Linked DNA regions of Drosophila melanogaster. The protein of the gene in region 1 interacts with the protein of each later gene in a pairwise test. Each region holds a gene or a part of one and is shown in the gene's direction. Other genes may lie near its edges.

Region 1 (11,155 bases):
CGGAGACAACTGCTGGTGCAGCAAGCAGCTGATCGAACCCGCCCAACTGCCCAAGACCTGCGGAAAAGTACGTGAGCTGTTCCAATACATGAACGCCTTCAACAACCTCTTGGGCCGTCGGATGCTCGAGGGCGCCATCGAAGCCAAGACGCTGGCGGCACAGCGTCTGGCCGAACGGCTGCAGCGTCTGGAGCGGATCGACTGCTTCAAGAGGGGCGCCTCCGGCCATCGCTATCAGCTATAATCATCCATGACTAATCCACATGCACATCCATAACCATAACCAGTGACCAGTGACCCTATCCACCAGACTAAACATATGCAATACACGAAAGAGTTGGAAAATATCATGTACAATTTTCAATTGTACAATATATTTCAGATGTAGTTACTATATTTTATATGCTACTCCACGTTTATAGCTAAACAATATGTGTTACCTATCATAAGCATTAGCATTAGTTTCGACACCTATAATCAGCAACCAGTGGCAGTGGCATTCATCCAACGTCATCCCCCCCCAGCTGCAGTTACGATTTCCGCATCGTGCATCATTATCACCGTACCAATTTTGCGTCACCATGATCAGAACATAGCATCGTCATCCAAATATATGCATAACGCCCTCATATATCGCCGCGTACGTGCTCCTAAAAATCAAGAGCTATGCGAAGCTCCATGCGATAGAACCCATTTAGATACACCATCCACCGATTATCCGAACCGAAACTGAACTCTCGATTTGATCAATTCACACAGACCACGCCATGCAAGCCCACCTGTTCGTGCCAGCAGATCAGCTCCGACAGCAGCTACGCCTCCTCTTCCAGCTCAGGATCCGTGTACGGAAAGTGAGTATAGAAGGAAAATCCTAACCGCGTGCGATATTATAGAATCTAATCACAACCGATCTTCTCCAGAATCGACTATGCCGCAGAGAAGATAGTGGACAACAGTCCAGCTGCGGATCCCATCAGCGTGAGTCTGGCCGCCCAGGCTGGAAAGGCCATCAATGTGCCGGAGGCCAAGTTGGCCTACGGATTTGCCCAGAAGCCCGTCGATGGTGAGAAAAAGGTGGTGTTCTCCAACGTGCCCGAGGAGAATCTCTTCAAGCTGAAGAGCGACGTGATCACGCTGAAGAAGCGCACCTATGCGACCAAGCAGGAGGATGAGGAGGAGTACGCCGAGGAGGAGCAGGAGCAGGAACAGTCCTCCGATGATGAGGAGGCACCGCAACTCACCTACAAACAGCTGGGCTACATCACCGAGCAATACAAGAACCCCAAGTTCAGGAAGATCAGCAGTTCCAGCTCCAGTTATGCGTACAAGGACTACAAGGATTCCAGCGAGAGCGGCTACGGTAAAGTGGCCGGCAAGGTGTCCGTGGACTGTGGCTTCAAGCCCGGCCGGATCACCTCGTACCGGAAGTCAAAACGAGAGGAGTCCGACGACGGTTACTACTGAATCAAACCCATCCCCCCATCCAATCCAATTCCAATCCTTACGTTTGTAAATATGTATATACGCCAAGGAGAGAATGGATGTTTGTCTAAGTTAGTCTTAAAAAATATACATACGTTTTTAAAAAAAATGCACAGCAATTGGCTTTCTTCTAAAAATACTTTATTACTTTTAACTTGGTTAACTATTTCATGGCACTGTTTAATAGTTTTAAATGTGGCTTAGAAAATTATATGAGGCCAATGAAAATAGAATGCAAGAATTTTACTTTGCATTTAAATCTATAAATAAACCATTAAGTGTACTTTAAATGTATTAAATGTATCATTAAGTGTTTTAAATATTCCCACGACATATTATTTGACTTATTTGTTTATGAATTGCATTATTACAGTTGAGCATATCTAATAGAGATTTTACACTGTTTAATAGTTTGTAATACAGTGTGTTTATTTTTGAATGAATGCCATGTAATGCGATATGTTGCACAAGAAAATAATTGATTATATATAAACAAACATTTGTATAAGCTGGCATAATTCAAAATGTTTTTCACAATACGTTTAAAACTAAAATGTTTACTTTCCGTTCGCATTGGCTAGGTTCCACTGTGGACAATTCTGCGTTTGGCGTTTGGATCTCAAGCCATCGAGACACTCGACACTGAAGAAAGCGGCGAACGTCGGGAACATGACTTTTGACGGAAAACATGACCCGCGAACTATTTGAAAAGGTCAGCGAAAACAAAAACAAACAGAGTGGCCAAGCCGGCGTCTCTGGGGAAGAAGACCTTGCCCAAAGTCAAGACCATTGGGGTCCGCGTGCTGGCCGAGATGATATAAAGAATGTGACAATACATTCTGCGGCTAGTAGCCAGCAAGGCAGACAACCGAGAAGATCTAACCGAGATGCGATACTCCATGGCAATGATCCCGATTCTGGGCCTGCTGCTCGTAGCACTGATCCACGCCGCTCCCGTTGAGGTCGTCTACACGGGCGAAAGTTGCGCCTGTCCCACCCAACTGGGTTACCAGCTAAATGTGCCCAATACCCCAAAGCCAAAGAAGTATGTCGGTGGCGAGTACGGCTATCGGGTGGAGAAGCCCGTCCAGACGAAAGCCAAGATTACCTACAGCTTTGACTTCACTGTGGAGCAGCCGAGGACACCGGCGCCGCCCAAGAACAATCCCGCCAAGCTGTATGCCAAGGTGGACCGGATCACAGTCAACAAAGCGGGTAAGTGCAAACAAAACAACCAATGATTTCATGAAAAACTTCTCTTAAGCGGACAGTTCTCTCTCTTGGGCGGACATTTCTCTATATACATGTTTCTCCATGTTTTCCTCTAACAACTTTATCTATGATTTATATTATACAGATTGCCAGGCCAAGAACAAGTCAACATGCGGCTGCTCGAGTTGCTCCGGCCAAAAACCCAGGTACGTAGCTTCACCGGTCAGGTCGCCGAATGCCATTCGTCGTCGCCGGGATGTTCGCCAGCCAGGTTCACTGCTCCGCCGTCGGCTAATGCGCCAACAAAAGATCCAGGAGCGTCCGCCACGCTTTGTGAAGCTCTATCACAAGGATTTGACTCCTGCGCAGGAGAAGCATCAGCTTAAACTTTTTGGCCTCTTTCCCGTGGAATCACCAGAGTCAGTGGCTGCCGCACCCAAAACCAAGAGAAAGACGAAGAAAACCCAGCCGAGCTGGATGGGATTGGGAAGGCGTTTGAAAAAGCGAGATATTAAGGGAGAGTTTGATCTGCTCGAACAAGAACGATCCCAGATAGATCTGACTGCGCCGGAAATAATCCAGTTTATGCCCGAGACTCTGAATCCGGACTTTAGGCCCGGTCAGTGTCACGTGGGCTGTGGAGCGATGACAGCATCGGCACCACCACCAGAAGAGCCAATGCCCAAGGAGGAGCAAGTGCCTCAAACGACGCAGCCTGTGCAAACGGAACCGCCAGAGCAGCTCAACTCGATTCCCGCCAAGAGGGCCGCCTATGGTTACTATCCCCTGCAGATTCCCTCGCCATTGGGCCGTCGGGAGGACTACAAGTTCGTGGATGATTCGCAGCTTAGGAGCCTGTTGTCCACCACTTCTGTGCCGGATCCGCAGGAGTATAGCTCCACGCCGTTACAGTTTGCCGGTGATTTGGAATCGGTTACAAGAAGATCCTATGGTGTACCACTAACGAGTCTCGGCGGTGGCTATCCCGTGGAGCATGTCTCCGACTCCCAACTGGACAGCATTATCTCCGGGATAGTGTACAATCATCCTGCCTACGATCATTACTCCACCGAGGGCAGTCTGGTCGATCCGGAGCCAATTCAAAAGCAACAGACGACGGATTTTCTCAAGAAACTCATCGATGGCCGGCTGGGCGGCTGGGGTTTCGATCAGGGATCGGAAACCGAGCACAGTTTACACAATGATTACTCCACACAACCCGCGAAGACCTATGGCTATAATAGCCAAACCCAAAATGGCTACAGTATAGACACCTATAATGCGCCACCCATTACGGATTACCTGAGGGCCTGGTTCTAGTGCCCAATCTAACCAACATAAAATACATAGTGTTTAGAACTTAGTTTAAACGAAAAAAAAAAAAAAACAGAGAAAATCATAGACGAAAAGTAAACAAAAAGAAAAACAAAAGACAAAAAAAAAACAGAATATAATAAATTGAAAATACATTGTGGTGTTTCTTTCTTTATTCACCCAACGTCTTCGTCTTTCTTCTCTTTGCAGCTACGGCGAAGACGCGGGCTACGGCTACTGAAGAGAGATCTTACATATAAACCAACAATATCAAAACCGAAACCCAAACCAAAACTCCAAACCGAATGCAACCCAACCCAACCCAACCCATCGATCTGCTGAGCTCGGCTTAAAATCCAGCCGAAAGTAGGCCAGTGGAGCACTCCGCTTTCGGGTCTCCATTCGCTTGTATATATGTACATATATATATATATATATGTATCTACGTGTACTATAGAAGTTATGAATCCAACCTCCGATTTCTGTTTACGTTTTCCGCTTTTGTCGGCACTTCAAGAAGTTGCCCCAATTAACTGGTTAATAAAGTGTTTGCCTGATTAAAATGTGCTCGATTCGATGATTTGGGGTTCCATTGGGTGCACCTTTGGCATAGAAAGAGCTAGCTATATGATACCCCTAAAAGTATGCCCACCGAAATGAACAGCTCTTAATCCTAAGCATTTCAAATATTATAATAGCCTAATGGCATATTACTTTGATAAATAATTAAGGGTTTTAGCATTTATTTACCTAACACAATTCTTCTGTTTTTTAGTCTTAGTCGTTAGTCTTAGTAAGCTCACTTATCATTAAAGAGCCAGTATATATAATATATATGATTTATTTGCATACGATCACGATCTGTTAATGGCCAAATATTTATTGTTCTACATAAACAAATGGTGGTGGTGGTTCATCATTCAGCGACAAAATTCTTGCGATTGCATACTATTGAAAAGCCAAAAGATACTCGCAACCGAAAGCCACAAAAAACTCACTGAACTTCGTGACCATAAGAGCAAAACATTTCTAGAAGAATACTCAAGATTCATAGGTACTAAGTAATAATAAATAATGTATAGTATGCAAAATGCAATAACTGGTTATTAATCTATCGTTTCAGACTAGAATTTTATAAAATATGTCAGGCAGACTTACTCACTTATCCTTTGATTAAAGAAGTAGGGTGTTTAGTAACATAGTTTATTGTGCGATTTTTGTAGAATCGAATGCGATGTAATCCCAAGACCTTGTAATTCTCGGCATGTCAACAATGTTTTACAGCATCCAATTAATGGCACATACACCCATTAAAAAACCAACTAAAGTATCGTTAAATTATTGCAAGCGAACCCATTGACTAGTGCCAAAGAATTCGAATGACCCTGGCTTGGTGTTTCTCACAGTTTTTTTTTTTTTTTTTTTTTGTTTTTTTTCTTCTCTCTGACGCATCAAGATCGCTGGAGATTCGTGGATGAGACATTTAGTGAATAGTGAATATGGCATATCTGGTTATAGATCACGTCCCGGCACGCCATTTTATTTTTTAACCGAATCGAGCTACTTTTGTGGGTATTTAAATGGATTCCATGGGAGCCGGGGCCCTCAGTCGAAATGGCAGCCGACGGCAGTTGGCCTATACTACTCTTGTTGGTCTCAACACAGGCCATTATTCACGCTGAGGTGGGTTCATTATATACACTCCGTTTATACAATAAATAAATAATGCTTGTATATTCTTCATTATTCGTTCAGAATCTAAGTGAATCCACGCCCGGCCCCGATGAGGAATACAATGTGAGCACAACTCCGGGTGCGCCGCTGGAAGAGACCACCAATCGCTTGGCTGCTCGCGTTGAGCCATACGATAAGGGTGATCGGGAGCAGTACGATGTGATCGATGTGGCCACAGCTACCGGTACGGTGATGGGCAAGCCCAGAAGTGGACAGACCACGAGAATCTACACCACCGGCGAAGTGGACGAAAGCTTTTGGCTAAAGCATCTGGGCGATGACTTCAAACATGCCATCCATCTGCAGGTGGGCGGCACCAACGAAGAGTACAATCGCCTGATTAACCGGACCCAGAACGGTGTCCACGAGGAGGTGCATCACGAGTATTTACCGGGGGCCGAACGACCTGGCAGCGCAGTCCAGCCTCCATCTCCTCTACCTGCGCCACACCAATCGCGTCCAGCTTATCGTCAGGGTTTCGACAATCGAGCCATGGCCATGAAACAGCAGTATCTCATCCATCAGCAGACCCAGCAATCGCATCCTGCCCAGCAACGCTATAACTATGCCCAACAGCATGCACAACACTATGCACCACAACCACAACTGCAACCGCAACCACAACCACAACCACAATACCCACAGCACACACCGCACAGAAACACGTATGCAATGCCTCAGAATTATGGGCAGCAGAACTACAAGCCGCAGAGTTATATTATCAACTCTAGCGAAGATCAGCTGCACGCCGAGCAATCGAATCCCTCGCCAATGAAATCAGCTGGAGAGGATCGACAACATCACGAGGAGGAGTTTGACTCCTTTGGCGGTCAGCTCAACTTCAAATCACCCTTCAATGACTACGGCAGTCGACCAGCACGAGATCTCACCTACCTTCTTTATAAGCGGGGTCTCTAGAAGCTAAATCCATGTCCACGTCAAACCAAAGACTTGCGGTCTCCAGACCATTGAGTTCTATAAATGGGACTGAGCCACACCATACACCACACACCACACATACACACACGCCAACACATTACACACAACACGAACTACACAAACACTGAGATTAAGGAAATTATTAAAAAAAATAATAAAATTAATACAAAAAAAATATATATATATACAAAAATTTGTTGTGTTTGAATTGAATTAAGAGCTTATCAAGAAAAAAATTTCAGTGACTCATAATACACTACTCTACAAGTTTAAATTGAATCAACAATTTAACTTTCATTGCTCAGGTTTTTAGTAACAATGTTTATATAAGTTTAGGTATAACAAATGATTTAAATATAAGATACTGTATTTCACATTGAGACGAAACAATCCACCGAAAATCATAAAATATAAGAATGTTGCATTTTATTTTTAAAAATAAAGATGCCTTTTAAGAGGAATAACTTAAATGTCTTTAATACCTTTGAATTTAATTATATGGCTAATAAACACAAACTTAAAGCTTAAAACTGCATCGAATTGAATGCGGTTATAAATGTACTTATATATCTAATATAATCTGCTAATATGGTTTACATGGTATATCTTTCTCGGAAATTTTTACAAAAATTATCTATTCATATATCTCGAGCGTAAGATATTTATCAGTTTATAGATAACATCTTTAAATTTGGGTGATTAAAAAAAAACATTGCTGCAGGGCATGTTTATGTACACATTTCAGTATAAGTCCCAAGTTAAAATGCAATGTAAAAACATATAAAGGATATTAACTTCAAACCCAAAGGATTGCAGAGAGATTGCAGCACAGCTGTAATCATCGCAACAAGGCAACCAAAACGAGACTCTCGTAGCGTTGGCATCATATTCGATCTTTGGAAGAGCTATGATTCAAGCCAAGGGAAACAACTGCCAAAAAATAGAAGATTGCGACGAGCGGAAAGCAGAGTGGTGCACCACGGTGCATAGGTGCATAGGAGGTTGGTTGTCTAGAGATCTGGGCACGATGGCGAGACAAAGATGCGGCGCAAAATCGGAAATGGAGATGGATCACGTAGCCGGCCATGGCGGGCAGCGATTATAGGCGCTATAAAGAGCCGGAGTCATCGCCAGACAGCGAGCAGTAGACGATCCACACGTAAACGGCAACATGCAACTCGGTCTCTGGTTTGGCATTTTGGCCATCGCCGCCACGCCGGTTAGTAGCTTTTATCCATGGCATTCGCATTGGGCATCCCGCTAATCTCGCAAACTCTCTCTCTCTCTCTCTTACCTCCTCCTCATTAGCTGGTGAGCGCTAACTATGGTCCCGCTGGCGGACACGGACACGGACATGGACATGGACAGTACCTGTCCGGTCCCAATGCCGGACTCGAGGAGTACGTGAATGTGGCGTCTGGTGGCAACCAGCAGGCTGCCAATCAGATCGCCTCACAGGCCGAGATCCAGCCCACGCCGGAGGAGGCCCGTCGTTTGGGTCGCGTCCAGGCCCAACTTCAGGCCCTCAATGCCGATCCCAACTACCAGAAGCTGAAGAACTCCGAGGATATTGCCGAATCTCTGGCCGAGACCAATCTGGCCAGCAATATCCGTCAGGGCAAGATCAAGGTGGTGTCGCCACAGTTCGTTGACCAGCATCTGTTCCGCTCCCTGTTGGTGCCATCGGGCCACAACAATCACCAGGTGATCGCCACCCAGCCCCTGCCACCAATCATTGTCCACCAGCCTGGTGCACCACCAGCCCATGTGAACAGCGGCCCACCGACTGTGGTGCGCGGCAATCCGGTGATCTACAAGATCAAGCCCTCGGTCATCTACCAACAGGAGGTGATCAACAAGGTGCCCACTCCGCTGAGCCTCAACCCCGTCTACGTGAAGGTCTACAAGCCCGGCAAGAAGATCGAGGCTCCACTGGCCCCGGTGGTTGCACCCGTCTACAGCCAGCCCAGGGAGTACAGCCAGCCCCAGGGTTATGGTAGTGCCGGAGCTGCTTCCTCCGCCGCCGGTGCCGCCTCCTCTGCCGATGGCAATGCCTACGGCAACGAGGCTCCACTGTACAACAGCCCCGCGCCCTATGGCCAGCCCAACTACTAAGGTGCTCATCCTGGGCATGGGTTGCTCCTCAGCTGCGACAGCTGGTTTAATTTAAATTTTTGTTTTTTTTTTTCTTTGCCGAACTACTGAGCGCAAATAAATGAAAAAAAAATACTTGAAACGTAAACGTTTTGTCATCAATTATTTTCGACCGGAAGGGGCTACCTGAGTGGCAATGAAGCACACAGATTAAGCACATATTTATGAATATATAAATATATACGAATGCATGAGAGAACAAAAAATTATATCTAGTTTTCTTCAAAAATAAATAATAAAGGGGAAAATGGTATAAAGTATGAACATAAAATTATGAACGAGTATAAATAAGTTTGTAATTGAAATCTCTACGGTCATACAAGTATTTTAACTATTCTATAAATATGCATAAACATGGTACGCATTTTATGAGATACAATTCGAAAGATATTGGATAGCATTATCATGCATGAAATTATTTCACACTCTTGTGATGGTAGCTATCTTATTCCAGTTATCGTTTAATTGCAAAGAATGGGATCAAAAGGTCATCTTTATCAACATATTGTTGATTCCGGAATGAATAATAAATAATAACATAACTATGAATTAATGGAGCAACTATAATTTTACGGCCTCTTTTCTTTTAAACAAAGAATATAGCACTTTTAATGCATTAAATACGTATTTAAACCTTTTCTTTTGAAACGCCAAATTCATATTAGAGTTTCATAAGATTGTTTTAAAACATAACAACATAATAATTGAAGAATTGGAAATCTTTTTAGGTGTTTGTAAGCCTTTGAATTCCTAATTGGAATAGCTAAAGATCCATATTTCATCTTCAAATCTCTTTGCAACTAGAGATTTATTTTATCTGGCAATTATTAAGTATACATTTTTATATGGTACTTTAAACTGATGGTTTAATCAGTTACATGGATTTTCTAAATTAAAAATGGTCATGTGAAGATAGCCACTCTTCTAACAATCTAATCACATTTATAGTAAGAAATACAATACAATACAATACAATACAATACAATACAATACAATACAATAGAAAGACAATCGAATCTGCGCAATCCGTGTGAAATTCAAGGACTACAGCTGGGTGGCTAATCATTTCCCCCTATCCACTTACACCTCGGATTACCTCTTATTCCGACTCCCGGAGTCTTGTGTCTGCCAATGCGGAACTATTTTCGCTATCTGAACAGACGTTCGGACCTCGATATGCGGCAAAGATTCACAGCCCGGCTGTTGATTCCGATTCGGTGGCAATGTGTTCGTTGTTATTGTAAAACGGGCAATGGCAACTGGGCAGTGGGCAGTGGGGTTTTCGGGTTGTGGCTTCTACGTAAGTGGAAGAGACGCCGTGATATGCGCTGGCAGCGATGCGTGCGATCTATCAACATTTGGCCATGTTTCGTTCGCATCGCGTGGGCCCGGAGCGGAACAGCCGGCACCGGAGTTGGCATCAATCCAAATGTCACGTACCCGGAGCCGGAGACGCGTCCGGAGCATATTTAAAGTAGTCGGCCACCAATGGAGGGCAGCAGAAGACAGCAGACAGTCCAAGCGGGAGCACACCAGAAGCCGAAGAGCAACTGGAACTGCAACTGGGAGACAAGATGACGAGATCGACCTACATTTGGGCGCTGGCCGCCTGCCTGATCGTAAGTGTTCAAGCTCGAAATCTTAGGATTAATCCCAAGAAAACCAAGTCTATCAATTCTGACTGCTTTCGTTTGTGCCATGTAAATCGTACATGAAAAGCAAATTGACTTTCCTTTAAATTACTTGAAACGGAATCAAGCTATCTATCGATGCTAGACTTATTTTAAGTATATGTATATGTCGATCCAATTCTAATCCACCCCCCCCCCCTCAATTTACTTTTAGGCCTGTGCAAGCGCCAACTACGGCAGTTCCCAGGGCTATGGACCCGAGTCCGGAAGCGGTGCCTCCGATGGCGGTGCTGATGCCGCTTCAGCGGCCGCAGCAGCTGCCGGCGGTGCCGGTGGAGCTGGTGGCGAGTACGGTGGTGCTAACGCCGGTGCTGGTGCTCTCGAATCCGGAGCCGATGCCGCCGGTGTGGCACAGGCTGGCCAGAGCAGCTACGGATCCGACCAGAACATTCCGTACAAGCCGGTGAACACCAAGGGTAACACCCTGACCTCATCGATCACCTACCCGCAGAACAAGGGCGAGATCCTCATCCATCGTCCCGCTCCCATCATTGTCAAGCGTCCGCCCACCAAGGTGCTGGTGAACCATCCACCATTGGTGGTTAAGCCCGCTCCCGTGGTGCTCCACAAGCCCCCAGCAATCGTTCTCCGCAAGGTCTACGTCAAGCACCACCCACGTCGCGTCAAGG
Region 2 (10,650 bases), on another chromosome or scaffold:
TATAGTTAACAAAATATTTACGCTTACTTACAGTCTTGACATGCTAATTTTAATGCGGCCATAAAATGCTAGGTTTTATTACCAAAATAGCGTGTACATAATGACAATCATTTGTTTATTATTTTAATAATAGTATTACATTTATTTTTAGTAGTTTCAGAGGGCGTTGGAGTAACAGCATTTAAAGAGAGCAAAAGATAGCGCTCTGCTCAGTGCCGCTCTTTTCTCACCCTGGCAAAAGGTTAAATACTCAATTTGTTGCTCGTTTATGGTTGCTCTTATTTGTTGCTTTCAATTTCCCGGCGATTGTTGTTATTTTTAGCAAGTTGTTGAAATTATCAGTCTTATACAGTACCTCCCTTTTCGGGGAAGCCCAGGCATAATCAAACTACCTAAAATAGTTTTTAAACTAGCTTGATAATGCATAAATGCCTTGAAAATATATCATTTAAAATTTTATAATGCTTATAATCCTTTTAAAAGTACTTTTTACATTTATGTTATATATAAAGTACTGATATTTTCTTTAAAAAATCGTTTTGATCACCATTTAGTGACTCGAACTATAGGAATCATCGGACAAATGCCCAATAACCGGTTGGCAGGGGTTGCGGTTTAGCCCGTGGCTAATGACGCATATGACCAGTTGAGACTCACCCGATAGATCTGTATCTCGTCGAGCACCACCTCCGATTCCCGGAGTACCCGCTCCACCTCGTCGTAGACGGCACGCTCCGTTTCCGTGGGCGCGGCGTTCTCGAAATCCAGGAAGACATCGTAGGATTTGGCGGCGCAACAATTGGAGTCGTCGCGTGACAGCAGGCTCAGCAGCTTTCCCATTTTCTTTGATTAACTAATACTTGTAGTTTTGGGGGATTTCGTAGTATTGGTGTTTGCTTCTATTTCGTTGCGTTATTAATTAGCACTTTTTTGGAATTTGTTGTTTTATTTATTTGGAGCACTGAAAGGGAGTGGGAACACAAAGAATACAGAAGATATAGCAGCTGTTGCACCTGTTGTCACGAAAAAAGGGCCTAATAAATGGGCTGGTTACCCAAAAGGCAGCTGCAAAAGTTGCTAGGGATAGTGGATAGTGGATTGTGGAGGTTGATGGTGGGGGAAGCTGCATTCAATTCAGGAACTTGTTTCATCTTTCGGAGGACAATGGAAAAGGGCAGTTTCAAGGGTGGGAAAAGGCGGTGACAACAAAACCCCGCGTTTTCTATGTTTTCAGCCCCCTTCGAAGATGGGAAAAAATAACACAGATGGTTGGGGTTCAAGGAAGTTCTTGAATGTTGATTTTGAACTAACAATGGTTTTGATTTTTACGAATGAAAATACATAATAATATATCTTCATCTAAGATTAAATTTAAATTATTTTTTCAAGAAAAATATTTTCCTGATATTTTCATTTGATTTAAATATATTTAACTAACTTTAATATACTCAAATTATACTTTTAAAAAATCCCCTTAAAAAACATTTTTATATATTGAAATCAAAGGAATGTCGACGATTTTCCGCTTTGTTTCATCTCTAACCAATGTTTACTGTATTTTTTCGACCTCACAAATTGCACTGCGGGGGGTGAAGAGGAGAACGAGGGAGAGAGGATTATGAAAAGACCATACTCTCTCTCTCTCTCTCTCTATCTCTTTTCTTGGCAATGTGCGTTTCGCAGGAAATACTGCGAAATCGAAACAGATCGAAATCGGTAAACAAAAAAGGAAAAGGAAAATCGGCAAGGCCAATTTTCACACATTGCGCTAAGTGGGAAAAGGCCATTTTCCTGCTCGAGCAGCAGCACATGTAAACACATATTGCGAAAAAAGAGGAGCAACAAAACGGGCTTGTTTTTGTTAAAGAATTGTGGCCATGTGTGCGTGTGTGTGTACGGCTTTTGTTTATCTGGCTTTTCCTTATCTCGCTCTCTCGCCGTCCCTTTTCCACTTGCTTCGCTATTTTGCGCGCTTATCTTCACTTTTATATTATTTATACATTTCCCCATGCAAAAGGGTTTCGTCTGCATTGGAATTTCTTCCTTTCATCATTTTTCTGCACCACGCTTATCACCTTTTTTCCACACTGCGGTACTTTTTAAATTATTTTTTTTTAATTAATTGCCTAGTAGCGCAAGGGCGCCTTCAACATTATGGGCAGCTCGCGGGGCTCAAATGCTTGTATCAGTTTTTTCAAAAACACAAAACACACGATTTCAGTTCAAGCCAATCCAATCAAATTCAATTCGATGCGATGCGAATGCGATACACACGCCGCCGACAAAAAACACAACAACAAAACAGCAGAGTGACCGTAGCGGGGCTAGTCGAATAAAGCCCAACCAAAACGGGCCTCCACATATAAAATACTAATGCTAACAACACCTTAGTGATGGGAATTGAGAAACACACAATTTCATGATAAATAAAAAATTATTCAATAACGTAACAACTTATTTAACCTATATATATTTATGTATAAGCAAATTTATGGCTCATAAAGAAACAAATTTTGCAAAGAGAGATTAACTGAAACCTACCAACATATCTTAAGAAAATTTTATTATATAATATAATATAATATAACAATACAAAAATATATAAGATTATAATACTTATACTTAGTAATTTTTCCATATATGCCAATTTCCATATTTTCTGATTTTATAAAACTCAAGATATATATGATATTGTTTTAGTTTCTTATTGTACCATATCGTAACGATATATCGCACGCCAACCGCCGGACAGTGTTGTGAAACTGTGACAGTATCGCTGTAAGCACGCCGAAAACAGTGGAGTTTCTTGATTTCCATATTCCGAAGAGCACTTGAAAAATCCAACAAAAACAAACAATCGAATCACAATGACCGAGGAAAGCAAGAAGATCGTACAGCTGGACGACGTGCAGCGCCAGTTGCTGGATCATCTGGCCAAGAATGACACCAGTGGATTCAAGCAGCTGCTGAGCGGAGTGAGGAATGTTAATTTCGTGGACGACACCGGGATGTCGTGTTTGGCCCACGCCAGCTTCAAGGGAAACCGCGAGGCGGTGCAGCTGCTCCTGGACATGGTGGGTACATCTGCCAGGCAACCACCGCTTGGGCTCTAAACATGAAATAACCGCCTTTTCTTCCACAGGGTGCCGACATAAACCTCAATCAGCATGGAGCTGATTATACGCCACTGCATTTCGCCGCTCTATCGGGCAATACACATGTGTGCCGGCTTCTTTTGGATGCTGGCATCAAGCCGGGTAGCATCAATAGTGTCAACAGGACCGCCGCCCAAATGGCCGCCTTTGTGGGCAACCACGCCTGCGTGGAGACCATCAACAACTATGTGACCCAGTCGAGTTTGGAGTACTACACCCAAGTGCATGGCCAGCAGACGGAGCCGCATATACCACCCAGCTTACTCAAATCGTTCCACGCCTTTGTCACCGAAATCAACCTGCATCCCGTGAGGATTGCCCTGAATGTGCAGTCCTTGGGATTGCTTAGGATCCTGTCCAGTCTGCGCAAGACGCTGGCTTTGATGTGCGAAAAGGAGATGCAGAAGTCGCATGACCTCAACGAGCTGCTGGCCTTCAAGTTCCATTATCAGGGCTGGATTTTGGCCGAACTAATACGCTGCGAGGAGCAATTCAAGGCGCAGCACAAGGAGAAAAGTGGCGAGGAGGCGGGCGATGCGAACAAGAACGATTTCATCGAGATGTTTGTGAAGCGGGTGCTCAAGGAGAACAAGCTGGGCCAGCTGGACTATGTGGAATACACGTTGCGCGAATGTGCCAGGGAGTTTCCCGTGAGAGAGTGCACCATCTTCCGGCAAATCGCAACGCAATTTGGCGCCAAGGATGCCCCACCAGCACTGACTGTCCTGCGAAATGCCATCAATGGGATGAGGTGGATTACGGTGGGTATCATGATCTCATAATCAAATGATTCTTTTCTAATCTGGAAAACTAATTTTCAGGACGAGGGCAACTACTGCAGCACCTGCGGCGCCGAGAAACCGGACAAGAAGTGCTCCAAGTGCAAGGCGGTGCAGTATTGCGATCGCGAATGCCAGCGGCTGCATTGGTTCATGCACAAGAAGAACTGTGCCCGCCTCCTGGCCCAATCCCAAGCCCAAGCCCAAGCCCAGCCGCAATCGCAAGCGAAGGGAGCCATTGACACGGCCGAGCTGCGCGAGGAACTGTCCAAACTGACTGCGTAATCCTGTGCTCCTTTGTAACGCCAATAAATGTAACATAAAACCAGAAACCTAGCATTTTCGCGTACTAAAAGATTGTTAGTACCAAACTGTCAGATGTCTACACAAATTAAACTAGATAATAGTAACGAAAGGCAAAATTGCACGCTACAAATTCAATTAAAGTCAAAACATACAACAAACTGCCCAAAAATCGTATATCTATCGTAAAATAATAAAGAGTAATAATGGAACAAAAAAAAAATAGAAAAATAACTCCTTTTGAAGGTTATTAAAATTATGGTTATTTTACGTTTTAAATCGAACATTTCAAAAATGAAGTTTTTAAAATAGCAGTATTTCGAACACAAAACTAACAGCATTCATTTTCGAATGTTAAGTTAACAGCACTAGCGGCATTCGCCTGAGTGTCTGTTATCGATTTCGAAAATTCGAAAACGAACAGCTGATGCCAGTTGAATTTTTCTTGTTTAATCTATTTGTTGCTCGTTGCTCGTGAAAACCCGTTTAAAACAGTCCAAAATGGTGCAGGTTTGGTATATGGATACGGAGGAAACCGATCAGCGCCTGGAGCACCACCGCAATCCGCCTGCCTACTTGGAACTGGATGATCTGTACCAGAAGACCGGCGTGGAATACTTTAAGGCAAGTGAAAAGCGAAATTGCGACTTTAAAAACCTTAAGTGACCTTGGGGGCGAGCTTATCTTGATCATTCACATTTGCAGATCAATGCGGACGAGTACCAGAGCGATAATACCCTCACGGAACTGAGGGCAAAACGTGGCTACACCTACGATGATGAGGCAAGATCGATGTTTTCTTGAAAAACATCTACCGAACTTTGGTAAACTTCGAATTATTACAGATCACATGCTCGGAAAAGTGCCTTCCAGACTATGCCAACAAGTTGAAAGCCTTTTTCACCGAACACCTGCACACGGATGAGGAAATTCGCCTGATATTGGAGGGATCCGGTTACTTTGATGTTCGCGAGTAAGTTTTGTTTATTTACACCGCATTTTATAGTATCCCAGCCACATTTTCCCAATTAAATAGTTCAAGCATTCATATTCTTACTGATATTGTTTTTGCTCACACTAATAACATTTTTGGAATTGTTTTAAAACGGAAAACTATTTATTCTTTATAGCAATGAGGACAACTGGTTGCGCATTAAGGTTGTCAAGGGAGATCTGATCATTATACCAGCTGGCATATATCACCGCTTTACTTTGGATACCAATGTAAGTTATTTTGACAATCTTATATACAAACTTAAACTATTTGTATTGTTTTTTCTTAGAACTTTATCAGAACTCGTCGCTATTTTGTGGGCGAACCTGTCTGGGCTCCACACAATCGTCCTGCTGATGAAATGGACTGTCGCAAATCGTACATCAAGCATCAGTCGGAAAACTTTGTGCAATTCAATAAGGTTTAAAAACCTTAAATCTTATCTTTTACCATCAAGTTTGATATTTTGAAATATAAAATCGCTGTGTATAATCAATAGTTTCAATAGTTTTTTGTTTAACTTACAATTTTCGCTGATTAACGTAGTTTTGATATAGAATTCGAAGTCTATTTTCTATATCAATAAACCCCGCCAAAAACTTGATTTCGAATTTTATCTCTTAGTTGGTTGCTGCATATGCTAAACGTACTTTCGAACTCGAATCTCAGAGAGTACAATTCGCGGTATGACCGTACCAGCGCCGAAGAGAAAAAACAGCGCAAGTATATAATCCCAAGCGCCAGCGAAAGTATCGAGCCAACATCGATGCGCGTGCCATCGCTAGGAAGGAAAACAAAACAAACACTTTTTTACTTTTTCATCTCTCGGATCGTTCGGACGTGCTACGCGGTCTCGTCTGTGTGTGTGAGGTAGTGTGCGTGAGCGGAGCGGCGAAAAAGCACAATTGAAATTAAATCGAGTCGTTATCTGTGGATTCGGCGGATACAATACAATATCGTATCGTTATCTATTTACAAACAAATCGACGTGGATTAATAAAATGCCGCACACGAATGCTTAAAGCGGCCTATCTGTGTGTGTGTACGTGTGTGTCTATGTCTTTGTGTGTTTCACTCTCTCTTTGAAATAGTAAACAAATTGCGTATAAAGTTTACAGCAAAGTAAAAGACAAACAAAAATATTTATATAAAACAAAGTATATTCTGCAGTGCGTGTAAAATATTTCGAAAAGTAGCCGCAAAAAGGCAGCGGCGTCGACGTCAGCAGAGCGCGGGCTGCAAGTGTGTTGGTGAGGCGTATATACATACATACCAACGCATAAGTGCATATATAAGGTGGTACATAAGCAGTGTAATTAATTAAGTGAAATCCAAATAGTTTTGTGCATGCGAAATTGGAAAAATCGAGAGGAGTTCCGCAGCAGCAGCGCAGCGGCAGAGGCGCCACCGACTAACGGATTTTCACACGCGGGTAAGTTTTCTTGTTTTTTTCCCCCGTTTTCTTGCCCCAAAACAGTGCTAAAATTTTCATTACGCCAAAGAGGAAAAATTCAATATGTATATGTATGCTCCATCTCCAATCGCTCTCTCTCGTTCGCCCCGCTCTCTCTCTCACTGCCACTATCCAATTTAACCTCAACCGGTCTGCTGCTGCGGCGTCTCGTATGCATGTCGCCCATCTGTGCGCCTCCTTGTGTGCGTGTGGTTGTGTGTTTGAACAATCGAGGTCAATGCAATAGTGGCAATTAAGAAAAGTCATAAAACCCAAAAGTTGGTTGTTAAAACTGTCTTACAAAACAAACTATAAAATGTACAATAGCTTAATGATTGGCACTAGAATTAAATACTTATATGTATTGTTATCAAAACAATGAAAGTAATATGAATTACTACTAAACGCCAAACACTTCAATAGTTTTTTAAGGTAATATTTAACACACATTTTTAATTTGAATTTATTAATTTTCTCAATGTTTACGCTCTGATCTTACTGCTATGGTTTCGCCCTCGACTGTATGCATCTGCATAAGTGCCGTTGTGTGTGTTGGTGTTTCTGTTTGTGTGCGCTTGTCATTCGGCTCGTTAAAAATGCTCTGCCGACGTCGCAGTTGGCGTTGGCGGCTTCTTCTTTAACTCTCGCGCATTATTTCGCAAAGCTCCAAAGCCTGCTGCTTCTTCTTCTGCCCCCCCCCTCCTGTTATTGTTGTTGCTGCTGCTAGCCAGCCTGCCTTTCTTTCTTCTATATTGACAATTTTTACAGCTTTTATCTGTTGTTGTTGGGACGCCATGCTTAGGAGCTTGTCTCAGCTGCTACTTTTTTTCCTGTGTCGCTCGACTGGGTTGCCGCGGTTTTTCCTTTTTGTATTCGGAAGGGGTTGTCGCCGCTGTTCGTTTTTCTTTCCGTTCCCGTTATCTATACACACATTTCTCGCTTATGAATGAGATTTGTTGGCGGTCTTTTATGTTAACTGTGTTAATGAACTTTTTCCCATTCGTTTTGTATTTGATTCTGTTTTACATATTTATACTTGCTAATTACCCGCACGCACTTTTTGAGCTTTGCAACACTTGTTAATTTCTCGAAAATTACCCCCCGCACACATACACTCATGCAGAAATGCACTTGTTTCGCAAACTCTCTCTCCCATTCGGTTCTCTCATTTTTGGGGTTCCCCCCTCTCTCTTTCTCAACCATCCCGCAGCGCACGCATTTTTCGGCAATGTTGCATGCTCCAAAATACAAATACACAGCCATACAAAAAACCACCTTGCTGGCTGTCTCGCTCCCACACACAAACACACTCGCATACAGACGCACGCACTAAAACCCGGTTCGTCGTTAGTTTTAAACTTATTTTGGCATTCTTTATGTGCACTGCATTCTCGACGTCTCGTCGAGTCTCCCCATCCTCCTCTGCCACCGCTTTGCACTTCTCTTCGCCTTTCCTCCTCTCTCCGCTCCTTTGCTCTCTGCTTTTGGTCTCGATTTTACGACCCAGACCCGCATTTCTAGTAGTTTTTGTTGTTCTTGCTTGTTGCAATAGTTTAGTTGGTGTTGCTGTAATTGCAATTGTTGTTGTTTTGGTTTCTCTGTGGGTGGGGGAGGGGTGGCTATATCTGAACTAGTTCACAGCGGATCAGGTGAAATCCGAAAGTTAAGAGGAGTTAAAAGTTCGCTGAACCTATTTCCAAACTATTAAACCATCGGTAATTCAATTTGTAATAAGATTTATTTCAAGAAAATGAGTTTTTAGCTATGCGAATTCTTATCTTTGCCAAGTATTATCGTAAAATCAATGATTGATAAGAATTTTGAACTTCTATAAATTTCAATGAGGCAAAATCAAATAGAATGCAAATAATAAGTCTTACACATTTGTAGAACAAAATAAAATATACATATCTATAAAATGCGAATGTAATTAATTGATAATTAGTAGCTCCAACCAATTAGCCATGGAAAAAGTGAATCGAAAGAGTTAAAATATATCTGGTAGGTTGGGAACTAGAATGCCCGGTTTCTAGATTTATCGCTGTAGATTTTAGCGTTACCTTTGTTTGTTGCCGTGTCAGCTCCACACAGGTACCACTCACCCGCGCACACACACACACACACGCGTGTCGATTTACCTGAGTTTGCAGGTGAGTTTGCCAGTGTCTGTGTTTGTGTGTGTGAGTTTAGGGGAGCTTGCTCGATAGCCGAAATTCTCTTTTCGTCTTTTCGTGCGTTTTTGTTTGTGCAAGTGGAGCAACAAAAGTCGACGGCTTTGCAGTATCGCTGCGCTCTTCCTCTTCCTCGTTTCTCCTTCCCCTTTTCACTTCATTTCCCTCTCCCCACCCCCCCTGGCACTTGTTATCGATATCTGAAATTTTCATCTAATTTCGCTTAAAGAGGTCAAAAGTTCAGGAAGTACTTCTTATGCTTAAGAGCACACACAAAAAGGGAGCTAATGATAAATATAAAATATTATACCAAAACGGTATAACTTTAACATGGTTTCTTTTCAATGTACATCATTGTAAAGTTATGATAGTTAGGATAGGTTAGTTTGTGGCAAATGCTAGAATAGCATAAAGTTAACTATTTGTTTAAGTCCCACATAAATTTAAGAACTGCCCGTTTTCTAATCGATTTCTTCTGGTTGTTCCATGCTCATGGAAACTTTTGATTCAAGCCAGTCCCATTTCAAAGTTGTTACCACCCAATGCTTATAGATAGGCTTCTGTAAAAGTTGCAATTTTTAGATGACAACTGCAATTGGTTGGCGATTGGGCATGTTTCGGGTGTAATATCTGTTTTTTGGGCTCAATCTGCCGAATGCATTGCAAGTGGAGCTGTGTTTCTGGCTATTCCATTCCTGCATTCCGGGGAAGCAAACATATTGCAGTTGTTTTCTATTTCGTTTGCTGCACAAGTAACACAGCCCACCGCCACACCCCCCTGTCGCCACTCATGCAATGCTCTATGTACAGCTTGCAACAACAAGGCATCGCAAGCCGAAATGCAGTTTAAAGCGCAACTAAAACTAAACAGAGCTTTCCACTCCAAGTGGGTGTCTCTAAAAGTGGGCGGTGGGTGGTGGGCGGTAGGTGATGGGGAGTATTTTCGGTGCTATATACATACATACGTACACATCTGAACTGTATGTGTGTTTGGTTTGGTTTGGTTTTCCATGTATGGAGAGTGTTGAGTGTGGAGTATAGTGGATTTTATATCAAAAGTACAGTCGCTTATTGCTGCTGTTGTTGTATTTCATAGTTCGTAGGTATATACATACATATACGCACATACAGAGGTACATAAATTGCATGTTCATGCCTCAATAGTTGCATGCAGCGTCCGCAGCATTGTTGTTTTTGTTTGGATGGGCAGAGGGTGGGCAAGGGCTCGAGGGTGATTGCTGCCAGGGCGGCGAAGGGGTTGGGGTTTCTGCAGTACCTAAGCCAAAGCCGATGCACCAAACTAAACTCTCTGTTGACAAGTAAAACAAAAGCCCAGCTGCAACAGCAACAGCAACAACAAACACCGAGAACAATGAATCAAAGTTCGCAAGCGATTCAAGAGCGATTGTGATGGCGATTACGATAACAGCTAAAGCCAGGGAAGATTCGGTCACCTATCGATGCCAAGAACATCATACTCTTTGTCTTTCTAAGTAAACTCAAAGATATTGCTACTAAAATGTACAAATGTGCTATGTACAAAGAATTTATGCCTTTGCCAATAACTTAAACAATAAATCATGGAATTCTTGTAAATACTTTAGCAATAAGTCTAAGAATTTTAATAAAAATCCCCCAGCGGAGTGAAAAGGTCAGATGGTGGGCGAGTCAAAGGAATTCGTTTATTTGGATTTTCCATACTTTCAACCTTAGCCCAACCTTTGGCAAAACCGAATTTTCCACACCTCCCACTTATTTTCGGGGAGTTGTTTTCCTGTCTCTTCGGTTGTGTTTT
Region 3 (11,155 bases), on another chromosome or scaffold:
TAGTTTCAATATATTCGTATCAAAGAAATTGCACGTGTTTGATTTGACATTATTTAAATTGGCTTCTTGTGTGTGTTTCATGTTGTGTCTAGGTACTTTAAAAACGTTTTCATATCTCATACGCAACAGCTTCAGATCAAGCGTATCTCCTTTGGCCCTAAATTAAGAGAATTTAGCGATCTAATTAGGTGTTATAACAAAAAGTATACATAACTATTCGCTTTCGATATCAAAGTAAATTCAGTCATTTCAGAACTGATCGTTAAGCTACGATGGGCCGGCCCAGAACAGGCCTGATAGTTCGTAATTATTGCGTACCTACATACCTACTGGGGTAGGCGAATATGCGTATTAAACATTACATAGCCTAGGGGCAACAGTAGTGATTGACTCTAGTTCGCTGCGGTTGGGATTCATTGGTCCTTCGGCCGCTCCACTCGCTACCTCTCGAACTGCAGCACGTAGTCTTTGAGCGGGCCCGGCAGGTTCAGGCAGTTGATGTTTTGGGCCAGCTTGCGGTTCATCGCCTCATAGATGGCCCAGCGGGATAGCTGCTTTAGACTGCGCGGCCGACGGTAGAGGGACGAGATCAGGGCTATTAGCTGCTCCGTCTTCTTACTGGGCACCTGTGCCACGTAAAAGTTGTGTAGGGACTTGAGGCAATTAAAGAGCGGCTCGTGGTGCATAGTCAGGTAGAAGAGGTGAATGACGCGTGTATACGTCGCGTTCGGATCGTTCAAGATGAACTCCTTCTTCGTGATCAGGATGATGTAGTAGAAAAGCAGGTAGCACGAGTTGGTGCGAAACGAACTGCGAAAAGTTGCCAGCTCGTTGGAGAAGATGGCGGTGCCGGGCGTTGTCTTTCCGCTGAGCACTATGTTGGGGTCAGCCCCGTACTGGATTAGCGTCAGAGTCAACTCGTAGACGCACTCCATGTCGTGGCAGGTGCGCACATTATGCACCATGTCCATCACCGCCTGCAGAATGTGCTGATATGTCTTATTGCAGTCCAGGCCGTGCTGAAGTAGCATCAGTAGGATGTTCTTGATGAAGTCGAAGTTGGTGCGCTTTTGAGCATCACAATTAAGCGTAAAGTTTTCGCTAACCGTAAACACGAGCACGTGCAGTGGTTTAAGGTTGGCGCGGTAGGAGCAATTGGGATTCGCTCCGTGCTGCAGCAGCATGCGGATGCAGTTCAGATAGCAGACCTGAAACAAGGGATTAGCTTTTGCGCAAATAAAATGGAATGTACGAGACAGACCTTCATGGAGTGCGTGAAATGATGCAGGTGATCCTTATTAATTAATGGCACTAGCAGAACCATAATGGGCACAGATCCATCTCTCCCCACGATGTTGGGGTCTCCTGAAAAATGAGGCATTGTGTAAACTGACAAAACATAACTGATTTACCAACCATTCTCCTTGATAAGCATGCTTAGCAGTTCGTAGCAGACTTCCCAGTCTCGCAGGTGTCGAAACACACAGGCCATGGCACTGTTCCCCGCTTGGTTAATCGATTGCTTGGCCCCGTTCTGCAGGAGAAATCGCACTAGGTGCAACACATCCCACTTGCTCCACTTGTCGTAGCCGTACCGGGCTTCCTCAAGGGCATAGCGCACTATCAGGGCGTGCAGTGGAGTGTTTCCCAACGAGTCTGGTGCGTTGATTAGCTCTTTGCATCCTCGTTCCAGCAGGATGCGAAGAGTGGCCAACGTGTCTTCAGCAGACTTACGAGCAGCAAAAATAACTGAAAATAATAGCCATGGTTATTACAACATCTGCATCAGAATCTCTCTCTTCAGGGAATACGAACTCACCCACATGCAGTAGGGTCATTTGTTGGGTGCAGGTGCGTACAGTTGTAATTGCACCCTGATGAATGAGTAGCTCAAGAAAGCGACCATCATGAAGCACGGCATGGTGAATCGGGTAATACTCGTCCATAATAAGATTGATTTCCTCCGAACGGGTGACCACTAGTTGCTGGACGCAATTCCAGGCGCCGCGTTCGCAGGCCAAGTGGAGCAGGGGCTTTTTCACGCGGAAGGGGATCCACGGCTCCTCCATTTTTTGGGTGAGCAAGCTTAGAACATTGTACTGATCTCCGTCGATTGCATAGAAGAGCGCGTTCTGTAGCTTTGTGTTTAGCCGCTCGCTGACATCGTCCACGTTGTTGTGCCATTTGCCGCTCTCCTCGCAATTTCTCGTGTGGGCGCCAGGAAAACACATCCGAGTGTCCACGTCGATACGTGCGCCATGCCGAAGCAATAACTCCACGCACTCCTCGTAGCCACGCAGGGTGGCGATGTGCAGGGGCAGGGAGCAGGGCGAGCGGTTAACGTCCGGGCGGTGGCGATGCAGCAGCCACTTAGTGAGATCGATGTGGTTGAGGCCGACGCTGCGCTGCAGGATGTTGTATCCATAGTCGTCATGCATGGCCAGGATATTCTCGTTCTTTGGGATCTGGATGAGCAGGCTCTCGAGGGTCTGCAGGGAAACCTTCGGATTGGCGCGCAGGATGTCAAACAGTGTCTGTATGGTCTCCTCGGTGGCCTTGGACAGCTTTCCGTCGCGATGCGAGAGGAGTGCGGATCCGGATCGGAACACCTGGCTCACGGAGCCGCCCATTGCTCTGGCTTCTCCCTTTACGGCCGTCTAACACTGCACAGTCATGCTAGTATCTCCTGCGACGCAGTTTCCGGGGAAGATCGCTAGACGGCGAAGTGCGTATCACTTCCGAAACCGTAAAAATCAATACGAGCCCTGAAGAACCGCCCAGATCAGCACTGAACGACGGCTGGAAGGAGAAAGGCTGCTCCGATGGCTTCAGTCACAGAATCCCACATCCCTGTGGCGCGTTTTCAGGCTAGATTCAGCGCATCCGGGCATTTCAAATTTACCACAATCAAAAAAAAACTTTGGGATTAAATAAAGTATATTATAGTATAGGGTTTCAGAGGCCCTATCGGCAATCGATATCAGTTGGTTGAACTTGGTATCGTTAGTCGATAGGAGGATATCAATTTTGTATAAAAGCGCGTTTATTTAAACTTAAAGTAAAATGCGTAAATGGGCATACATTTGCACCACCTTATTCAGGAGCAAAAAAGCAATGAACGCGATTTTTTTCCATAAAATAAGTTATAGGCTTTGCACATACTTTTCGATTTGTGCAATCCAGCTGTACCCAATGTTAAGGCTTATCGGCTATCGATTCGAATTGAATGTACAGTGAATACTGGAACTTAGTTACTATAAATGTCAATATTAAATATAAAAAATTATTAATAATAAAATATTAACAAAAAAAAATACTTCTTATTCAAAAGCGAATACTTCTTATGTTACCAAGCCAAAAAAACTTTGGTTTTCCTAAGAAATTTTCCCTAACATTACCAACGTGATTGAAGAAAAACTGTTTGCCTTAGCCTCTCCTCTCTGTAACAAATTGGCGCTCAAAAGTAAACGAGCGTCTTGGAATATAACTTAGTTTGCTCCTAAAAATATCGACGGAATCATGACCAACCGCCTGGAGACCAAATACGAGAACCTGAGCAGCATTTTCCGGCTAAAGGGACATGACTACCAAAAGCAGTTCTTCCATCTGTATGCCCACCGCCTGGCCGAGATGACGCGTCTCCTAACGCCGCTGGCCCAGAAGAAGTGGGGCAACAAGGAGCCCATCAAAAAACTGTGTGAGCTGCGGGGTGAACAGGACGTGCACTGCATCCTGATCGGCACCATTTTTAAGCACCAGGCTCACAAGCCCAGTATCCTCCGGGACATTTCTGAGGAGAATCAGTTAGCGCCACAGCCGCCAAGACAGAACTACTCGGATCCGGAGGACAAGATTGTTCTGGAGGATGAACTGCAGCGGGTTCGACTTCAGGGCAAGCTAAATGGACAGCTCTTAGCCACTGGAGTTGTGTGCGCTGCCCTCGGTGGAACAGACAGTGACGGATTTTTTAACGTGGAGGATATACTCTTCTACGAAAGTGGACCTCAGAAGCCACTGGCCCCCATTAAAAGAAGCCGCCTCCTGGTGCTGGCGTCTGGGTTGGACCAACTGCAGGCCCACAAATTTGTGGAGGCATTGAATCTCTTTCAGTACTGGCTGGCCGGCAGTCTTGGAAACAACAAGGAAGCGGGCTCCATGGTGCGTCTTATCGTGGCTGGAAACTCGGTGAGAGCCAGTGCCATGGCACATGTGCCCACCCTACAGGTGGCACGCACCCAGGCGAACGCAAATGACACAGTCCAGGCCGTTTCCCAGCTAGACCAGTGGTTTGCCTCATGGGCACGCAGTCTGCCCGTCGACATAATGCCGGGACCCTACGACCCGGCCAACTTTATGCTGCCCCAGCAGCCGTTCCACAAGTGCATGTTTCCCCAGGCTGCTCAACTGGCAACTTTCCAGGCGGTGACTAATCCGTACAGCTGCCGGCTGGATGAGGCCCTGGTGGTAGGCACATCTGGCCAGAATGTATCGGATCTGTTGCGCAGCACTTCGCTGGACTCGGCGCTGGAGGCCCTTCGCTGCACCCTCACCTGGGGACATGTTGCTCCCACTGCACCGGACACTCTAGCGTGCTACCCGTACATCGAAAGTGATCCCTTCATCCTGCGCGAGTGTCCGCACGTTTACTACGCCGGCAACTGCGAGTCGTTTGCGACCGAGCTGCACGAGGGTTCCGAAGGCAAGCGCACCCGCCTAGTCTGCGTGCCCAGTTTTAGCAAAACACAGAGTGTGGCCGTCGTTGACCTGGATACGCTGGATTGCCGCATGGTCAACTTTAGCGTAGATGCAGAATAAGAAACTTCATTAATACAAATAATACACCCTGTTAAGTCTTGAGAATCACTGGTTTTATTCGCTATCCTAGTGCACCACGGGACCCAGCGGCTCGCCCCTAATGTTGGCCAAATCCAGGCGGGAGTCGATGGTCTCGTCTATCAGTCCGATCACCGCGATGTTGTCCCCCCGGATGATGTGCAGTCCCAGCACGATTTGCTCGATGCCGGAGGTGGTAGAGAAGACGCGCTCATGGCACTCGTCTATGATGATATTGATGGTCTGGTCGAATCCCTTGAGTGTCCCGATGAAGTTCCGTCCGTCTGCCGTAATGATGGAGACTGTGTGATTGATATACGACTCCAGACCGGACATTTTAGCAGTCTTTCCTTGATAACTTCTCCAAACAGAACAAAATAAATACTAATTGTGGCAAGAGGCTAGCGACGCGCTCTCCGATAACGATAACTGTGCCGCAAATCAGCTGTTCCGGCTCTGGTGCTCATGTAATCGGTGGTCAACATTCTATTTTCCGAAAAAATTAAATTAAACTGATTAAAATGCTGCGTCGCATTGTCCAAGTGGGTGCCCGGGAGTTGAGCCGAGCCCAATCGTCAACCGCCAGCGCGGAAAAGTGGGACCTGTACGCCGGAGTGCTCGTAGAGCGTCTCCCTGTGGTGTCCAAGTCCCTTAATCCGCTGGAAAAACAGTTCCAAGACTTGCTATGGCGCGTGGAGTACGAAAACAGCCTGAAGTCTGACCATGAACTCAAGCATGAACGTGAGATCGTCCAGGCGGAGCTCATAAAGCAGGGCAAGATCCAGGTGGACTTGGAGGACGCAGGATCCAAGCAGACAGCTCAGGACCTCAAGGACGCCTACGTCGAGGAGCTAAAAAAGTTCCAGTTGGGCTCCCGCACCACGCCCGATGACCAGGCCAACAGAACCACCTCCACGGACCGCTGTCTGGATGACACGCTCTACCTTTTGGTACAGCAGAAGCTGGGCCAGCAGGAGCACCTCATTCTACCGCAGGGAAAGCGTGAGGAGGGAGAGTCCATGCGTCAGACTGCAGAAAGAGTGCTCCGCGAGAGTTGCGGCCAGGAGCTGCAGGTTCTTTTCTACGGCAACGCCCCAGTGGGCTTCCACAAATACAAGTATCCCAGAAACCAGCGGACGGAGACTGTCGGAGCCAAGGTCTTCTTCTACAGAGCATCCCTGCGGTCCGGCCAGGTGCCCGAAAATCTGACCAAGTTCGAGTGGCTTCCCAAGGAGGCGCTCAATGAAAAGCTGACCAATACAGCCTATGCCCAAAGCGTTAAAAAGTTCTTGTTGTAATCGTAATTGTTAAAATTGTTTTGATATCTAACAAATAAATAAAAATACTTCAGAGGAATATCTATCTACTAGCTGCCTTTCATTTGAGAAGAATCTGGTGAGATGCTGATACTTTTGCCAACTTCCTTCTGCAAAATCAGATTACAGACTCCCCTGAATTTTTAATAAAAACTCCACTCATTTAACATATTTAGACATGCAGCAATATATTTATTTTTGCAATTCACGAGTTGTAAATATACGTCCAATACAGAGGCAAATATTTATTGTTTTGTTTTTCTTTTTTTTTTCTGCTTTGAAAAAGCTTACTACTTTCGTTTCGAATACACGTAGAAACTGGAGGAAACATAAAAGGCTGGTTATTATGCATTTCTGGTAGCAAGAGTATCTTAAATCTTTTTGGTATATCAGTTGTATCTATGTTCGTTACAAGTTACAGACATTCAATATTGAAAATGTGTGCTCGATTACTGGAAGCTAAGCTTTTTATCTGCTTTTCAGGCGCAAGTTGATCAAATTACTGTGACAATGTTCTCGATTAGATATCTTCTTCGGCGACCGGACGCGTAGCCAATTCTCAAACTGAAACGTCAAAATTTAAGATACTTTCTCATTGGGCTGTTGATAAATAAATGCAAAAACTAGAAATGGTTCATAGTCATGTTGATAAATATGTATTGCAAGGTGCTATTGTTGATTTAAGGTTCATTGTGGCATAGGTTCTTAAATAAGCATTAAACTGTTTGACTTAGAGACTAAATTATCGAAAATAATGGTGTAAATATATATTTTTGTTTGATTTTTTTTTGTGTTTTGTTGGTTTTTAGAAATATACTTTAAATTGTAAGACATATGCTCAGGCGCCACTAAATAAGACAATGCAGGCTCTTTAGTTCTGGAACAGCGTTCGCGTGAAGTCTATGTAGTCCAGGGCATCCTTGATGGGCTGGCCGGAGCGCGGTTCCGAGAAGGGTTTCATGCGCTGCACGCAGTAGTCAGCCATGTCCTTGGTGAGGTTCTGTGGCAAGAAAGCAAAGATGTTAGTAGTGGCATGGGTTGAAACTTTCAGTAATCGAGGAATATTGAACTTACGCAGTAGAGCTCCTCCTTAGTTACATAGGGGCGGTCGGCAGCGGTGATGGCGCGGAAGGCATTCTCGATCTCCTCGTAGGATTGAACGTTCTCCGTCTCCTTGGAGATCATGAACGCGATGTATTCCTGCAGAGAGACGTAGCCATCGCGGTTGGGGTCGACAACATCGAGAATTGCTTCGAACTCCGGGTCGGGCTGTCCCTCCTCCACCATGGGCAGGTCGTAGCCGAGGGCGCGCAGGCAGGACTTGAATTCCTGGTGGTTGAGCTTGCCGCTCTTGTCCTTATCGAAGTGCTTGAACATCATCGAGAACTCCTTGAGTGAGTCCTCGGAGACGCCCGAGTGGTTGCGTGCCTGGATCTGTTGCTCTAAGTTGTGCTGCATGCGCATAGACAGCTGGTCAAGCTGATCCCACTGCTGGGCCAGGCCCACCGTCGAGTGTTCCGTGTAGCGGTTGTCCAGAATAAGGTGCTCCTCCAGCAAGGCTCCCAGCTCCTCGATCTTCTTGAGGTCAACGCGACGTGCGCGCACCTCGGTGGCCTTGACACGAAGCGCCTCCAGTTGCTGTTCCAGGGAACCGGAGCCTTCCATCATGGACGTTCTGCGAAATTCGCGATGTGGGGATTGGTTGAGAGTTGGCGGATAAAAAGCGTCTATTAGTAGGGCACAATATCGAGTTAGGTCTCAAACAAATCGGAACGTTACAATGATATAATGCAATAAGAGAAGCAAATCTTGTTAGAGGGTCTGTTAAGGGCAGCGAATATTTTTCTGGATTTTCTGAATTCGGGCTTGCAACTAGTTTGTCTTCACTTTGTTTTTAGTTTGTACATATTTACACGTGTCGGTGGGAATTTGGCGGGCCCGAGTGTTTTATCTGTTTGGGTCAGGTTTAGTGTAGTTAAGATTGGTTTTTTGTTGAGTTCAGCAACTAATAATGACGAAAGTTGTCTAATTGCTAAAAGCGAGTTAAAATAAGAAAAGCGCCAAAGGAACGTTTAAATTGTAATTTAATAATGCTACTAGATTTGGTTAAACTCTTCGATTGAACGGAATAAATATGAACATAATTTATGTTTTCGATTGCTACATATTTCTGTATGCTACAACAGTATTTTGATCTCGATTCGCATGCTAAAGAGTTCAGTTTCGTTAATTTTGAATAAGATTAGGTGAGACCAAAGGAGTAATGGAGAATCGAAACAGTACGTTGACGATATACACTCAGATCGGGATCGGGTGGGTCAGTGCTCTCGCTAATGCAACTAACTAAAACTAGGTCTTAGTCGTCGCTCAATCTTATCAGTGTGGATATATACGAGTATTTACAAGCCCTCAGCTCAAAGGGCAAAGCAAGAGTTACGGAGAACATGGCCATTCCAAAAGGTTAGTGGAGGCGCAGCGAGATTGGGAGCTCAGCCCCAACGCGAGTTAAGAAACCAAAAAGATCACAACAGAAAATAAGAGTTCAAACGCAGAATCAAGCCTGCTCGCTTAATTACCCTTGACGGTTATAACCCAGCATATAATATCTAGAAAATAGAATGGATCTTTCAGTTACGTAGTATTTCATGGGGTTAGAGTCGCGACCACGAGACTTGTTTTCGGATTTGTGTGGATTGGGATGGGAACATGGATTCGATCCGAAAAAAACCAACACACGTCTGGATGGAGTAGCCCACATTTGGGAAAGCCTTAGCCCCCACTCACCTTGTCTCTGTTAGCCACTGGTGGAAAAGATTGGCGTGCTTGGCAAACTCCTTGCGCAGCTTGTCGTTCTCCTCCTGCCGCTTGGCCTCCTTGGCAAGTTCCCCATCGCGTTCCTCTATGATCTTTTGCAGATTACGCCAGGTCTCCTCAAGAGCTTCCATGGTGAACCACGTGTACGGGTTGGGTCCAACATTAAAGCTCTTGATCTTCTGGTCGAGTGCTGCCAATGCCTTGAAGTCAGCTTCGGCCGACGAAAGGGACGCCTGGAATTGGGCATGGGCGTCGCGCAGGGCGCGGATTTCTTCGATCGAATTGCAGCGAACAGGATCTGTGAGATCCTCCTCGGCATTTTCGAACCAAGAATTGAAGGCCGAAGCTTTCTTGGCAAATGTCAAGTAGAGTTCCTCGATCTGGCGGAACTGCTCCTGCATGGCCAGCAGTCGGTCCTTGCGCGTGTTGGAGGCGTCGCGCAACTTCTGCCACCTGGCAATCACGTCTCCGTGACGCTTTAGGATTGCCGGCGACTGGGCGTGACTGGCATTTATCAGTTGGTCCTTAAGTGCCGTGATGTTGTGTATGCCCTCCTGCTCGAAGGCATTGAGACCTTAACAGATGACAATCGTTAATATAATGTGACTTAAGACAAAATCTCAGCTGATCATACCTGCATCGAATGTCTCTTGCTTGGTCAACAGCGTTTGCACGGTGGACAGGTCGCGTCCGAACTCATCGGAGCGCACATAGTTCTCCTTGTCGTCGATCCAGCTCTCGACCACATCGGCCTTCCACATGAACTGCAGATAGGCCGAGTTGTCCAGCAGGGCACCCTTGCGGCGGGCAGCCAGGGCGGACAGGTTGTCCAGTTTCAGGCGCAGCTGCTGGCAGCGTTGGGCAATGGACTCTCCGTGGTGGTTCTTGGCCTCCACCAACTCACTGCCCTGGTCGCAGATCAAAGAACAGCGGTCCTTGTGGGCAGTGAAGTCCGTTTCGAATGCGTCGTGCTTTTTCAGCAGTCCTTGTACGGCGGCCATCGAGTCGCCGTAGTCCTCCACAGAGAGCAGCTGTTGCTTCTCGGTGATCCAGGCCTCCTCCTCCTCCACCTGAGCGAGGAATTGCTGATAGGTCAGCGACTCATCCAACTTCTGACCTCGCGTGGCAGCCAGGTTCTTTAGCTCGGCCCAGGCCTGGTTCAGAGCCTTCAGGCGCTGCTCAATTTCGGGGACACCGAGGTTGGACACGTCCATGAGCTTCTCGCCAGCCTCCTGCACAGCTTGAATGGCCGGCTCGTGAGAGCCCAATTCGGCTTCTAGGCGCTTGTGCTTCTTCTTGAGGTTCTGGACGCCGGTCAGATCGCGACCATAGTCGTCGGAGCCGACAAGTAGCTTCTTCTCCTTGATCCAGCTCTCCTCGTCGGCGATGTCGCGGAAGAATTGGTGCAGGGTCAGAGCCTCGTTGAGACGGGCTTGGCGATGGGCCGCCAGGTTGCAGATGCGCTCGTAGCGCTCATTGATGCTTTGACGCTTCTCCTGGATGCCGGCAGTATCGAACTGGCCGCTCTCCACCAAGGAATCGGCCTGGTTGTTCATGTCCTTGATGCGGTCTTCGTGCGCCACGATATCCGCCTCGACCAACTGATGCTTCTTCATGAGGTTTTGGACAGAGGCCAAATCCTTACCAGAATCCTCAGTGGTCAAAAGACTCTCGACCTCGCCCAACCAGAAGTCCAAATCCTTGACAGCAGCGATATAGGTGCGCTGCTTATTCGCCTCCTTTAGCTTCAGCGACTTCTCGGTAGTCTTATGGGTCAGGTACTCCCACTGATCGGCGATCTGCGTCAGCCGCTTCTGCACCGCGTCCTCCGACCCGCTGCACTGCTTCTTATCGATGAGGTTTCCGCCCATGGCTAGCACGCTCTGGATGCGATCGGCGTTAGCCGCCAGCTCCGCCTCGAAGGCCTGGTGCTTCTGGTGCTTCGACTGAATGTTAGCCGGGTCCTTGTAGCTCTCTTCGGTGGCCAGCTGCAACTTCTCTGCAATCCAGTTCTCAATCTCATCGGCATCGCGCGAGAACTGCTGCAGCGTCTGCTCGTCACCCAAACGGGATCGCTTCTCGATCAGACCCTCCTTGAGATGGCGCCAGCGCTCCAGCACTTGCTTGCGCTTCTCGTCCACCAAATTGGAGGCATAGTGGTTCTGGGCGATCAACTGATCCGCCACCGTCTG

The links.
Region 2: the proteins of Cp36 (region 1) and Adi1 interact in a two-hybrid assay, tested with the Drosophila melanogaster proteins (one large-scale study listed by BioGRID).
Region 3: the proteins of Cp36 (region 1) and PolD2 interact in a two-hybrid assay, tested with the Drosophila melanogaster proteins (one large-scale study listed by BioGRID).

Annotation. Positions count from the first base shown.
Region 1 is NC_004354.4:8,471,505-8,482,659, forward strand, and holds Cp36 (chorion protein 36), read left to right. Parts: upstream 1-7,814; 5' UTR 7,815-7,852; coding exon 7,853-7,900; intron 7,901-7,989; coding exon 7,990-8,796; 3' UTR 8,797-9,019; downstream 9,020-11,155. Other genes in the region: Cp7Fa (chorion protein a at 7F), read left to right, coding at 1-217, 760-851, 921-1,464; Cp7Fb (chorion protein b at 7F), read left to right, coding at 2,370-2,697, 2,840-4,014; Cp7Fc (chorion protein c at 7F), read left to right, coding at 5,623-5,691, 5,764-6,660; Cp38 (chorion protein 38), read left to right, coding at 10,410-10,454, 10,681-11,155.
Region 2 is NT_037436.4:10,658,708-10,669,357, forward strand, and holds Adi1 (acireductone dioxygenase 1), read left to right. Parts: upstream 1-4,668; 5' UTR 4,669-4,738; coding exon 4,739-4,861; intron 4,862-4,942; coding exon 4,943-5,020; intron 5,021-5,082; coding exon 5,083-5,210; intron 5,211-5,367; coding exon 5,368-5,461; intron 5,462-5,520; coding exon 5,521-5,658; 3' UTR 5,659-5,728; downstream 5,729-10,650. Other genes in the region: CG32066 (uncharacterized protein), read right to left, coding at 658-840; CG8003 (uncharacterized protein), read left to right, coding at 2,868-3,074, 3,143-3,916, 3,977-4,219. UniProt on the Drosophila melanogaster protein: Catalyzes 2 different reactions between oxygen and the acireductone 1,2-dihydroxy-3-keto-5-methylthiopentene (DHK-MTPene) depending upon the metal bound in the active site.
Region 3 is NT_037436.4:1,772,162-1,783,316, forward strand, and holds PolD2 (DNA polymerase delta subunit 2), read left to right. Parts: upstream 1-3,471; 5' UTR 3,472-3,519; coding exon 3,520-4,815; 3' UTR 4,816-4,858; downstream 4,859-11,155. Other genes in the region: CG13933 (uncharacterized protein), read right to left, coding at 441-1,208, 1,262-1,365, 1,417-1,749, 1,820-2,630; CG2021 (uncharacterized protein), read right to left, coding at 4,882-5,169; mRpL46 (mitochondrial ribosomal protein L46), read left to right, coding at 5,355-6,131; alpha-Spec (alpha spectrin), read right to left, coding at 7,021-7,149, 7,224-7,824, 8,726-8,755, 8,934-9,537, 9,598-11,155. UniProt on the Drosophila melanogaster protein: Accessory component of both the DNA polymerase delta complex and possibly the DNA polymerase zeta complex. As a component of the delta complex, participates in high fidelity genome replication, including lagging strand synthesis, DNA recombination and repair.